Linked DNA regions of Lonchura striata. The protein of the gene in region 2 purifies or fractionates together with the protein of the main gene of each other region. This does not show direct contact. Links are inferred from orthologs where the notes say so. Each region holds a gene or a part of one and is shown on either strand. Other genes may lie near its edges.

Region 1 (4,252 bases), on a different chromosome or scaffold from region 2:
TGGACAATTAACTCCAATATGCAAATGGACCAAAACTTATAAAAGTGAGAAGCCTCATGACTGGTCATGCATTTTGTGACAATTTTGGTTCATTTTGGGTGTAGCCCTGGCTGGGCTCTTGCGCTGCCCAAGATGCAGCCATTAAGGCCTTTTACTAAATACCTACTTTATTCTTTAACTCTGTCTAGCCTCTGTTCTGGGTCAGCCTTCACAAGGCATCAGTTCTGGCAACCTAGATGGAACAGAACCCACAATTCCTGGCTTAGGAAGCCAATGCTGTTTGGTGGTGGTAACTGCTGAAAAAAGTCTTGTAAAAAGGAAAATGTTCAGGGAGGGATAGCAGGAGTGAGGGTGCCTGGAAGAGCAGCAGGAGCCGGGGTGTGATGGCAATCTCTGAGATCCGGCATGCTCAGGGAAGGATCAAACACCCCACTGTCTAATCCAGGAACCAGCAGCACTGTGTGACTGGGGGTGGCAGGGCGCAGGGGTCGTGTCCTGGAGATCCCCTGCATCCAAAGCGATCAGCTGGACACAGCAGCCTCTGGAACCACCAGAGACATGGCAGAGGATTTGCCAGGGGCTGGACAGCACGGATCTGCGAACGCTCAGCTGGGGAGAAGCTGAGTGTCCTAAAGAGTTTATGTGGAGTACTGTCAAGTCTCCCTTTTCCTGCTCCTCTGTCCGTGAACCCCATCCTGGTGTTGCAGGGATGTGCAGTGCCTTACTTCCCCAGCCGCTCACCAAACGCCTCACAAAGTGGCTTTTGTTCTCAGGGAGAGCTCATTTGATGAGAAACCATGTGGGAAGGGCTCTTTGTCTCAGCGAGGCGGCGTTATCTGCTGAGTTTGTGCCTTTTTTCCTTCACGTTCCCCATTTTCCCCTCATGCCCAGGCTAAAGGGAGACGGCCGGAAACATGGCGGCAAAGAGGCGCCGCTATGAGACGGGAACTACATTACCCAGCATGCAACGCAGACAGCGATAACGCGGCGCGCCTGCTAGGAATACTGGGAAATGTAGTCCCTCCGCGCTGGCGCGCACTCCCCCCCAACTCCGATTTCCTCGCGTTCCTATTGGTCCAGAGCGACGCCAAGCAACCGCCGTGGGCGGGGCCTGGCCGCGGCGCCGCCGTTCCTACTGGCCGGAGCGCGCGCGGTGGGAGGGGAGGTTTGAAAAAAAACAACCCGCCCCCCGCGGGGCCCCGCGCGCTGATTGGCCGAGCCGCGGTTTGGCGCCAGCTTCAGAGCGGGCGACGGGTACCGGTTGGGGTCAAAACGCCGCGGCGGCCGCGCTGACGGGACGGGGCGGCAGGGCTGCGCTGCATCCCCGGTCCCGCTGCGATGGAGCCCACCCCGAGCGCTCCGCACCGCCGCCGCCGCCTCCTGCTGCTCTCGCCGGCCTCCCCCGCCTCGCCCGCCGTGGTGAAGGCGCTGTTTCAGGATGAGCTCTCGCCTGTCTCGGATCTCCGCCTCACCATGGAGCAGCTGGGGCGCGGGTGAGTCGGGGCGCGGGCCCCACCAGAGCCCGGGCGCCTCCTTTTTCTCCCCTCTGTGGTGACCCCCCCTCTCCCACAGGAAAAAGCGAGGTTTGGAGGGCTCGTCCCGCGCTGCTTCCTGCCGTGCCAAGGGAGCTCCTTCCTGCTCTGCTCCGGGCACTTTGTCCCTCTCCAAAACGCTTTCTTCCCGCTGCCGGGCCTAGGGAGGCTCCCCCTTGTATAAACCCCCCCCCAGGCCTCCAGGAGTCCTTTTCCTCGCCTTCCCTCCACCCCCGTAATTCCCTCCCGCGCTATTGTGAAAAACGCGTATTTTACACTGGGAACCCTTAGGGAATTACACGGATAAAAACCCCAAACCCCTTTGATGGCTTTATGCCCCTCGCAAGCCCCAAAGCCCCAGGCACGTCTTTTAACCCCCCCCTCACCTTCCCCAGCTATTCCCAGCTCTCAGGAACTCCTTCCCTTCCCTGTCCCCCCTCCTTCCCAAGGAAAAGCCTCGGGGTGCTCATCTGCCCTAGCCCCCCAAAAAACAGCCTCGTGGATCCCTCCTTTTCCTTTCCCCCCACCCCCAATGGAGGGTTCTCTTTATTCCCTTTCCCCCCACCCCCAATGGAGGGTTCTCTTTATTCCCTTTCTCCCCGCCCGGCACTGCGGGCTCATCCCGCTTCCTCTCCTTCCAGGCGCCCTCCCCACACCTCCAGCCCCTCTTCCCCCAGCCCTTCCCCCAAAAACGAGGCCTCCCGGGGCTGTTTCTTCTGCCCGCGCCCACCCACGAGGCCTCGGTTTTAACCCTCCCGCTGATCGTGAAAGGGTTTTAAAATCACGGGGATTTAGGGTTAGAAGGAAAATGAAGCTTAGTAGGCCCTGGGAAAATACCCTGGGAACGTGTAGGCCTTGTGCCTTGCTGGAACTGCACCTGTGTAGCTGGTACGTGATAAGTGATATAATTGTTAGATGTGATGATTGTTTAGTAATTAAATATAATTACTGTTTGATCGTAGGAATAATCATGAGAAACTGGTCAGAAGCTTAAGAAAGATCACGAGAAACTCATGGTTGAATAAGGTCAATGTATACAATAGAACAATATAAGTTTAATTAATAATTAATATGTAAGTTCTGTAAGGATAGAATATAAAATACGTTCAGCTCGAAAGCCATGTGGGAGTCAGATTTGGGTCTGTACCCCTGATTCCCAGAGCTCTCAATAGAAGCAGCTGCATAGAGTCATATCCTGTGATTCTGTGTGCTCCTGACCGCTGACACCACCCCACAAACCTCCAGGAGTCCCTTAGGGCCCCCTTTGGCTGCTGCCTCCCATCTGTTCTGCCCTCCTGCCCCCATCCCACACAGATCCATGCTCTGGGACACCTTCCCCCTGCCCAGGTTCTGCTCTGGGCATTCCCCTCCCTCCTGAGCCCTTCCCTGGCTTTCCCTCTCTCCCACAAAAAGCTTTGTGTCCCTTCCATGTCCTCCTGCCTGCCCTGTTCCTGCTCTGTGCTCTGCAGCTGCACCCCTTCCCTAAACCCCAGCTGCTCCCTTTTCCTGCTCTCTTAACTCCTCTAATCCCATTATTCCCACAGTTCCTCCCTTGTGTGGCTCCTGTTTTGTCCTGGCCCACTCAGGTCTCAATGACCCTCCTGGATTTTGTTTGTTGATTTTCTGTTCTCATTTCTGCCACCACCTGCCTTATGGTCCCATCCTTCCTTCAGATTCCTGGGATTCCTGCAAGCCATTGGCAGTGCCCCTCTTGGAATTTATTCAGCCCTTTGATTTTGTAGCCCTGGCTACATTCTTTTTTTAATTAACCACATGCTGGAGCCTCACTCAGGTAGCTTTTCCTTTTTATATGTGGGACTCCATATGATTTTCTTCTCTCTCAGCACTGAGGTTTAGCAGATAAAACAAAATTTGGGAGGTAACTATTTATCAAAATGGGTTTGAATTAGAAATTCAGCAATTTTATCAATGCAAAACCTGAATTAAAGGAGTGTCTGCCAAAGAGGATTGCAGTTCCAGGAAGGATAACTGGGCTTTGATAGAACTCCAGGTGATGCCCACCTGTGCTGTACCTACCTGCAGTGTTGTGTTTCTTGCTTTTAAAGCAAATCCCAAATTTTCCTTTCCAGGCAGCATGAAAATTTGGACCAGGACGTGGGAACCAAAAATGGATTGCACAGATCAGCATCTTCAGAGTCCACAGACTCAGGTGGGGCTGCCTCAATTAATAAATTCTGATTAGGAATTGCAAAGCAATGCACTCCTACATGGCACCCAGGGTTTGGAGAGAGAACTGGCCCTGCCTGCAGCCCCCTCTCTTTCCCATGCCCTTGGAAGGAGGGAGGCAGATGGAAAATCCCCCAGGAAACCTCTGCAGCTCGTGGTTTGGGCTGTAGATTTTTTTGAATTATTATTTTAAATTTTGCTTTAATTGTCCTGGAGGCTGTGAGCAGTAGGGAGTGAAAACAAGTCCTCACTGTGTTTTCTCTCTTTAAACCCAGACTGTGCCAGTGAGTGGCTCTGTCCTGTGTTCTCCTGTTACCCAGGGCACGGGTTGGTGATCTGATCTGAAACCCCTCAGTTCTGGTACTTCCTGGGAGGATTTCCTGTTTTTCACATGAGATGTTTTATCGTTGAAAATGAAATAAGCTCTCACCCCATAACTTGTAGATTCCCTCTGGTGCTTCATTGCTCCAGCTGAGGGAAATCACTGTTTCCACCTGGATTTATGCCCCATTTTGAGGGCACTTTCAGCCCAA
Region 2 (4,252 bases):
GGCAGAGCACCTCCTGCCCCTCTGTGAGGTGGCACCAGGGACAGCTGGCAGGGCTGCTCCCAGCTAGGTGAGCAAATGTGAAATAATGCCATCTTTGCCAAGGAAACATGCTCAGGTTACTTAATTTGCCCAAACCAGCTTTAAATATGCCAGGAATAAAAGGTGTATTTATCAACTTCATGGGGTGGAGAAAACTGACGGGTCACAGTTGCTCTGGTGACATCTCTGTCTTCAACTTGTTTTGCTCTGCATTTGTTCCTTGTGAAAGGACAGAGAAGCTGCCTTGTAAAAAAGTGATTTTCAGGTGCTGTCAGTGTCATACACACTCTGGATCTCCAGGAAATCCATCCTGGCAGCCCAGCATTCCTGCCTCCCCATGTGAGCTCCGTGCTCTCCCTGCTCCATGGCAAGCGCAGTGCTCTCTGTTTGCCTTGATTTCTCCTCTTTCCTGCCAACAAAGCCTGAGCCCTGCCAGGACACACAGCACAGTGCTGCAGAGGGCAGGAGGGAGCATTCCCAGCTTTTGGAGCATCACTCCCCGGATGGGCAGGCTGAGCCCTCTGCTGCAGCCCAGCTCTGCTGCTGGCTCCTCCTCTCACCTCTGGGGCTGAAAGCCTCCCCACACTCCTATTTTCCTTCCTTGGAGCAATCACACTTTGTTGTAGACACGTTGCTGTGGTTACAGATCCTGGAATAGTCAGGATGAACAATTTCTCCATCAGGTAAGTTGGCAACCCTTCACTTGCTTCTCTGCTACAGGACCAGAACAGAGAGCTAAGAGGTGAGTTCAGGTAAGGTGATTCAGCCAGATTTATTCCAGTTGTGCAGCATGGAGAGGAAAGGTAAAAACCTGGCAGCTGGGTAGGAGATGTGGTCCTTATTGATCAGGAGCAGACCTGGGGCTGCAGTTTTGTGTGTGTAAAAGGAGCCACCGTGGCCTGGGATGTGTGCCCTGGGAGGGAGGTGGCTGTCAGCAGTGGCCTCTTCTGATTTACCCACTCTGCCAGCAGCCCTTTCCAAAGGCAGCCTAGCCTGCTCTGTGCACGCCTGCCCCGTGCCAGGGTTAGTGCAGGGGAAAGCTTGGCTTTTCCTGTAAACTCCTGCTCACACTGAAGCCATTTAACACGGATCTGCTGTGGGACAGACCTCCTTGCATCTTTGATGTCTATTTGCTCGCCCCTAACCCGTCTGATGCAGTCCCCCCGCTGCTTTCCCAAGGCAGGGGACAAATTCAGGAGTGGGGCTCCCAGGTTCTGCCCAGTGCCAGCTCTGTGCTGATGGTGGCTGCAATTCCTGGCTCGCAGGGACCCGGCTCCAGTTACATTTGCTGGCGTCAGGCGGGCTCTGCAGACCACTGCAGCTAAAAATAAAAGAATCCAAAGCACAAACCCCGAAGAGAGAGGGATGTTAAAATTCCAGGAAAGCTGTAGGAAAAGCTGGAGAGGCGCAGGAGCAGCCCTGGGGGGACAGCACCAACATTTTGGGGCACTTTAAATTAAGCCTCTGGGTTTGCCTGTTTTTAGCCCTGTCACCCGTGTGACCCTGCGGGGCTCAGCCCCTGGCTCCAGGTATTTGTGCTCACACAAAGGAGGCTTTGGAGCCTTTTGGGAAGCAGAACCATCCCTGGTGTCCCTGCTGGCCCTGAGAGCTCCCAGAAGTCCCAGCCTTGGGATTGCCCTGGATCCAAACCCTCGGATGGTGCTGGGTGTGGGAACACGGCTCTGGTGAGTCCTGAGTGGGCCGAAGGGGGGAACGGGGTTTTCACAGCTTTTGCAGCACCTTTACTTGTCTGGGAGGTTAACAGTGGATCTGTGAATCCAGGCCAAAGGGTCGGGATTAAATACTTACCAAACCTGCTTCCAAAGGCTAAATTAATTAGTCTGCAATCAGATGGAAAAGCCCCAGTGCTATTTCTAAGGGGAGGTTTATGAATTTTGTATGAAGGTTTTGGTGGAAATTTCCACAATTTCTGAGCACAGATCATAATCTAATAATCTTTGAAACTGTCATTTTCTATTTAAATATTAAATAGATACAGAGATTAATGTTTACCAGGTACAAAGTTGTATTTTGAAGTGTGCCTGCCCTTTCCTGGAGCAGCACAGCTCCATTTCAGGTCGGCAGACTGCTTGCCTTTGACCCGTCTGCAAAAACCCTTTCCAGATTTAATCGAAGCCTCTTTGCAGGAGGCTTTATCTCTGCCTCCTTTTTGGGTGCTGTGAAACTAAACCCACCAGGAGTGTGAAAGTGAGGTTAAAAAGCAGCTGTGTGTTTGCATAACAATGGATTATATCCATGCAGTGCAGGGCTCCATCTGCCCCTGGAGCTCCTTGCATGTGGGTCAGAAGTTTCCAAACGATGGCTGAGATTAATGTGTGCAAAGGCCTGGGTTTTCCAAGTGTGCCACAGTTTAATCCTGCCTCTCTCCAGGGTTTTGGGAGTGCTGGGAATCACAGGAGCACAGAATGAGCTAGATCAGGATGAACAGGAGCACAGAATGGAGAAGACCTCTAAGACCATCTGGTTCTGCTGCTCCACAGGGAGAGCTCAGCCTGGCTGTGCTGCTCAGGGGCTGCAAAGCCTGCACTGCTGCAAAGCCTGCACTGCTGCAAAACCTGCACTGCTGCAAAGCCTGCACTGCTGCAGAGGCCCCTGCAGGGCTGAGCAGTGGGGCCAGCACCTTGCCCTGGTGTGCATTTTGGAGATTTGCTTTGGTTCTTCCCCTTAAGAACAGCAGCTCCTTCTGAAGGGAGCTGGAGGTGACTCCTGCCAACTTTGTTTGGGTGTTTGGAGCAGCACAGGGGTTTTTAATGGGATCATGGAATATCTGAGCCAGGAGGGACCCACAGATGATCCAGCCCAACCCCTGGCCCTGCACAGGCACCCCAGATCCCCCTGTGCATCCCTTGGGCAGGGTTATCCCATCACTGGGTGTGCAGTGTGTGATGTGTGTCACGTCCTCAGGCAGCTCCAAACCTGTTCCTGTGTGCCTCGTGCAGCTCCACTCCTTATTCAGGACTTCTCCTCCTGGTCCAAGCTCAGTTTCCCAGAAATCAGCTTAGTTTTTGTTAAAAGAGTTGCCTGATACAGCTCAGGTGTCCCCACATTCATTTTCTAGCAGCAGGTGCTGGGAAGAGCTTCAGTGTGTGCCCAGGGTGCAGTCAGAGCTACCAACATCCTCTGGTTTTGGATTGGAAAACCCCACTATTCCCTGAAAATCTGCAATGCCTACTGACCTCAAGATTAGCCCTGCACTGGTGTATTTTAGGCTCACCTCACTCTCCAGCAGAATTAGAATTAGCCCTCCAAAGACCTGGGCCAGGCTCATTTTACTTCTTCCTGTAGTCATTAATTAAGGTAGCAGCTAATTTTGTATGGGATCTTTTATTTTTGGCTGTATTTTATAGAATGATTGCTGGTGAAAGTTGGATGTGTTGCATCTTGAATATTGCTGAGGCTGGAAAACAGCCAGAACAACCAAGGAGCAGAACTTCCAGGCAGTTTTCCATATCTGCAGTAAAGCTCAAGTCTGCAGCGAAGTTATCTGAGGAATTCAGGCTGTGAACAACAAATGGAAAGGGAATGACACAGATATGAGGTGGGGGGGAAAGTGAGGTATTTTATGATTTTGGACAGCTTCCTGCAGTTATATCACTGCATTGTTATTATTCCTCAGCAAAATCAGAGACGAGAGATTGCACTTGAGCAGCTCCACTCATTCCTGGCAACCTGGGGAAATCCAAGTGAGCTGAGAGAGGTGGATCAGAGGTGATTCCCCACCCGTGCCCATTCATTCCAGAGTGAAATAGCCAAGGACCAGCACGTTGTGGATATTTCCCAGTGTTTTAATGACTTTGTGCTTCCTCTTTGGCACAGTTTGTCAAGTATTCCATGGCTTTTTTAAAGAACAAGGAGACTGAGCTTACTGTGTTCTGAATGTCAGAGCAGATTTCAAGGGGAAAAAAAATCCCTAAAACCCATTGCTCTACAAACAGCAAGACTAAAGCAGTTTCACCACAGATTTATATGGTCTCATCCCTAAAGCACCTCTGCTATAAGTATAACTATATATATTTATATATAAGGATAAATATATATCAATCATTATATAATTATATATATATAATTATAATTATTTTTTAAAATTTATAGAAAAGGATATCTTAACTGTGGTTCTCATTTTAGAGGGTAAGCCCCTCACGTACTGGGGCTAATTCAGCCTCAGGTACATGGGCACTGAGCAGCCTGCTGC
Region 3 (4,252 bases), on a different chromosome or scaffold from region 2:
TCCCAGTACCAGGTAACACTAATTTGGCTCTGCCCCAGGCTCCTTTCTCTTTCACTGACTTTCTCCACAGAGTGCCCTGCTCCTGTGGGACTGGAGCCTTGGGAGCAAAGCAGGAATATCCATTAAGTGTCCCTCCTGTGAACAGACATTGTGGGGTAATGTAACAGCCAAACTGAGAGGGAGTTCAGCCCCTGGATTATGGAGAGTGTGGACAGATATAAGCAGCTATATCAGGTATTGCAAAACAAGGTATACATCCTTGGGTTTCTGTTGGGATTATCGGCCATAAACCAGTTGGTTCTCTGTGTGTCAGGTGATGTGACTGGATGCAAAACCGCCCCTGCTCATGGGTCTTGGCTGGGAGTTCTCCTGCCTTCTGCAGGGCTGTTTCATGTAGCCCAGATCTAAACTCCTGCCAACCTGGCCAGGGTTCCAGGGCTGGTGGGACAGTTGCAAGGATGCCCTGAGCTGTGCCAGTGTGTCCCAAAATAGGCTCTCCCACCCAGTGTACAGGAGGCCAACCCAAACCCAGAGTTGTAGTATTTGATTTATTTACAGTTCTGCACTGGATGGCAAATCCACAAAGCCAGCATGACAACTGTCAAAACTTTTGACTGTTTATATATTTTAGCAAACAAAAGGCATTAATGTTCATTGGCTACGAGTTATCTGGTTCTCATATCAATTAGTATTCTATCTTCCAATGCCTAATGATTTTTTTCACTTCCCATACTAATTAGTCCACAGTCTTGTCTCTCTTCTTTTGGGTTGGTGGGTTTCTTGGGTCTGTGTCCATGAATAGGTGGTCATAATCTACTCCTGACAGAACTACCTTTTACCTGCTTGGAGCTGATTCAACCCAATTGCTGAGCCAGCTTTATTAGTTTCTTCCTTATCTTGGAAATTCTGCCTAATGTTCTTGTAGCCCATAAATCCTGCATTCCTTGTACCCACTATCAGTAGTACATCCTTCTTCCCAAGCTTTGTTAACATCCCATTACATCTGAGATCATCGCATCAACATTAAACCCTAACAAGACAATTCTACCAACAAGTAATTCGTCTTTCTAAGCGCTCAGAGCTTATTAGCGGTTGTCTGCTTCGGGGATTAAATCTCCTTTCTTTTTGCTTAGGTTTGAAAGAGATCGAGCATCAGGTAACGTTCTTTCTTAGGGTAACTCGGTGTCCTGCGGCGCCGGTGCGGCCCCGCTCCGGGCCGGCAGCGGGCGCGCTCGGGGCGGCTGGCGGGGCCCGTGCAGACGTGGCCGCGGAAGTGGGTGGCGGGGCCGGGCCGTGCCACGCCGGGCTGGGCTGTGCCGTGCCGAGCCGTGCCGAGCCGCTCCGAACCCAACCGAGCCGCATCCCCCGCGGGCAGCCGCCGACGGAGCCATGTCGCGGGGCAGCGGGAAGGGGATCAGCCTGAAGGATAAGCTGGATGGGAACGAGCTGGACCTGAGCCTCTGCGACCTGAACGAGGTGCCGGTGCGGGAGCTGGTGAGTCTCCGGCCGTACCCCCCCCGGCGGGGCTGGGGACCGCCTGCCGGTCCCCGGGAAGGAGCAGCGTAGGGGAGCTGGATGTGCTGGGGGCTTGTGAGCTGGCCTGCAGGTATTGAAAGCAGCGAGGTTCTGTCCCGCGGGCCCGACAGCCGCTAGTCACTGCTGTCCCGGGATAAGAACCTTTTTGGATACAGAGATGGATCCGGAGATGACGTGGCCTCGGAGCAGCCGCGGGGGATGGACAGACTGACGCGGGAGAAACCGCAGAGGCCGAAGCAGAACAGGTGTCAGAGGGGGTCGGGTGAACCTCCATGTTCATTCAGTGCTTTATTTGTCTTTCAGGCCGCTCTTCCGAAAGCTACTATCTTGGATTTGTCCTGTAACAACCTCATTTCCTTGCCGGTAAGGTGCTAGAGAGCCTCCGTGGGGATGTGTCTGCTGGGAAATATTTGGAAAGATAGCTGGTGCTTCAGGAGAGGCTCACCAGGCACCGTGGAACTGGCATTTTCACTGCCCTGGGGTGGCTGAATGACTCGTTGTCAGTGACGGGTCAGTGCTGGCAGTGATTTGGCTGAGGCAGGAGAGAGTACAGGGTTGAACTGTGTGAAGATTGCAGTACACTCCTTCCAGAGCATCCCCAGGTTAATAGAGAGGACTTTCATCCGCAGTGGAGACTTGGGTTTGTTCCTGTCATATTGTCATCCATAACCTTCTCAGTCTGTCTATCTGTCCTACTGTGTCTCACCTCCATCTTCCAAGGCAAAGGAGGAGAGTAATCTTCCTCCATCACAGTCTTGTAGTAAATCAAGGATGTGTGCCTGATGCAAGGTGCAGGCTGTCTCCACATACTTCCCACTTAGGTTCTTCCATAAAGGCGCTAACCGGCTTTCTCTGGGTTTTCTTTGTTTGGGTTTTAGTCAGACTTCTGCAGTTTGATGCATCTGGTGAAACTGGATTTGAGTAAAAATCGGTTGCAACAGCTGCCCTTGGACTTTGGCCGCCTGGTCAATCTGCAGCACCTGGACCTTCTGAACAACCGCTTGGTCACCCTGCCAGTCAGCTTTGCACAGCTCAAGGTAAAACTGTTTGCTGGGCAGTTACGTAAAGCTTTGGGATGCAGCCCAGGGTCTTGTGATCCTGCTCAAGTTGATTTCTCTGGTAAAGCATCCATCCTGCTGACTACTCATTCCAAAATTCAGCTGGGTCTGCATCACAGCTCAGTGAAAATCCTCTCAGTCTATTGAAAACAACTCTGCTCATTTTCTGTACCTGTTTCATTAATGTGAAAACTAAGCAGTTCTTTGCTTCTGCTTCGGATCTCTTAAATAATTCCAGGACTGCTGTGCTCTTACAGCCTCCCCTTTGTTGTGATTTTTTGCAGAACCTGAAGTGGCTGGATCTGAAGGACAATCCCCTGGATCCTGTCCTGGCTAAAGTGGCAGGAGACTGTCTGGATGAGAAGCAGTGTAAGCAGGCTGCTGTCAAGGTAAGGAGTCTGGTTTTATTGTATTTTTTTTTTTTTTTCCTTTAATGGCTTTGCCAGTGATTCTTTCTCTGCTTAGTGAGCTGGGTATCTGCTGCAGGAGCCCAGCCCAAAGTTTCTTCAGGGAGTGAGGTGCAGGTCCACTGCACTGACTTCCCTATTGCTATGCTTGTGGAGAGCAAACACCCGGCTGAGGAGGATGCTTCTCCATTGGTGGAGTGAAGAGAGGATGAAATACTGGTTCCCAAGAAAATAGAGGCATAATAAGACATAGTAATTCATGCCTGTGCTGATAGCACAAAAAGCTCTGGAGAAGTTCTGGCAAACATAAATAGAAATGTTCTGTGATCCTATGTATCACTGAGCACCAGTTTGCCATGTTTGTTTTTAACAGGAGGATTGGCTTTTTTACAACAGAAACTCACACAAGTTGTGAGTTCTTTCCAGTGCTGTAGCTGTAGGGATAGGGGAGGGTTGGGAGTCAGCCCCAGCTGCTTGTTCTAAGCCATACTCCATCTGTTCTGTTCTGAACTGACTGTGCCACTGGGCTTCTGCACAGCCCTCAGGTTGTTTTCTTGGCTTTTTAAGGTACTGCAGCACATGAAAGCAATCCAGTCCGAGCAAGATCGACAACGGCAGCGGAAACTCCAGGCAGAGAGAGGTAGGGACAAACAGCCCCCACGTGCAGTCTGCTGAGGACTGCTCTTGGTCTAACACATCCAAACATTCTGATCACCATCTAATAAATTGCCATCTAACATATACTTGTAGCCAAAGTAGTCAAAGCACTCAAGGAATAGTAGAGTAAAATGGCTGGAGGGAGAAATATAGCAGGGGAGTAGTGTATGTGATTCCTTGGCCTGAGGAATAGTTAAATCTCTAGATGGAATGTGCTATAGGTTATCTACGAAACTTGAAAGAAAAGCACAGCAAAATGCAAGGTATGTAATACTAAATAAAATTATAAAAAAAGATGATAGTTGTTTAATTGGCTTCCTCATTCCAGTTGGGACAATAAGGTAGTAAGGAAAATGGCAGTGACAACCCTCTTACATAAAAGGGGAAAACTTGCTGTTAACCCCCAGAAATGGAGAAGAAGCGTGAAGCAGAACAGCGAGCAAAGGAGGCTCTGGAGAGAGAACTGCGGAAGCGAGAGAAGGCAGAGGAAAAAGAGCGCAGAAGGCGGGAGTACGATGCTCAGAAAGCTGCAAAACAGGAGATGGAAAAGAAAACAAAAAAGGAAACAGTGCACACCCGAAGTAAGTAGCGTCC

The links.
Region 1: the proteins of RAF1 (region 2) and CDC25A purify together in Homo sapiens (affinity purification with western blotting; 3 studies listed by BioGRID and IntAct, with this or other methods). This does not show direct contact. The link is inferred for Lonchura striata from reciprocal best matches to the Homo sapiens genes RAF1 and CDC25A.
Region 3: the proteins of RAF1 (region 2) and LRRC59 purify together in Homo sapiens (affinity purification with mass spectrometry; 3 studies listed by BioGRID and IntAct, with this or other methods). This does not show direct contact. The link is inferred for Lonchura striata from reciprocal best matches to the Homo sapiens genes RAF1 and LRRC59.

Annotation. Positions count from the first base shown.
Region 1 is NC_134603.1:156,258,772-156,263,023, forward strand, and holds the start of CDC25A (M-phase inducer phosphatase 1), read left to right. Parts: upstream 1-1,210; 5' UTR 1,211-1,338; coding exon 1,339-1,493; intron 1,494-3,622; coding exon 3,623-3,702; intron 3,703-4,252. UniProt on the Homo sapiens protein: Tyrosine protein phosphatase which functions as a dosage-dependent inducer of mitotic progression. Directly dephosphorylates CDK1 and stimulates its kinase activity. Also dephosphorylates CDK2 in complex with cyclin-E, in vitro.
Region 2 is NC_134614.1:4,710,020-4,714,271, forward strand, and holds the start of RAF1 (RAF proto-oncogene serine/threonine-protein kinase), read left to right. Parts: upstream 1-1,400; 5' UTR 1,401-1,724; intron 1,725-4,252. UniProt on the Homo sapiens protein: Serine/threonine-protein kinase that acts as a regulatory link between the membrane-associated Ras GTPases and the MAPK/ERK cascade, and this critical regulatory link functions as a switch determining cell fate decisions including proliferation, differentiation, apoptosis, survival and oncogenic transformation.
Region 3 is NC_134621.1:5,720,525-5,724,776, reverse strand, and holds the start of LRRC59 (leucine-rich repeat-containing protein 59), read left to right. Parts: upstream 1-1,264; 5' UTR 1,265-1,389; coding exon 1,390-1,494; intron 1,495-1,839; coding exon 1,840-1,899; intron 1,900-2,414; coding exon 2,415-2,573; intron 2,574-2,878; coding exon 2,879-2,983; intron 2,984-3,568; coding exon 3,569-3,641; intron 3,642-4,065; coding exon 4,066-4,239; intron 4,240-4,252.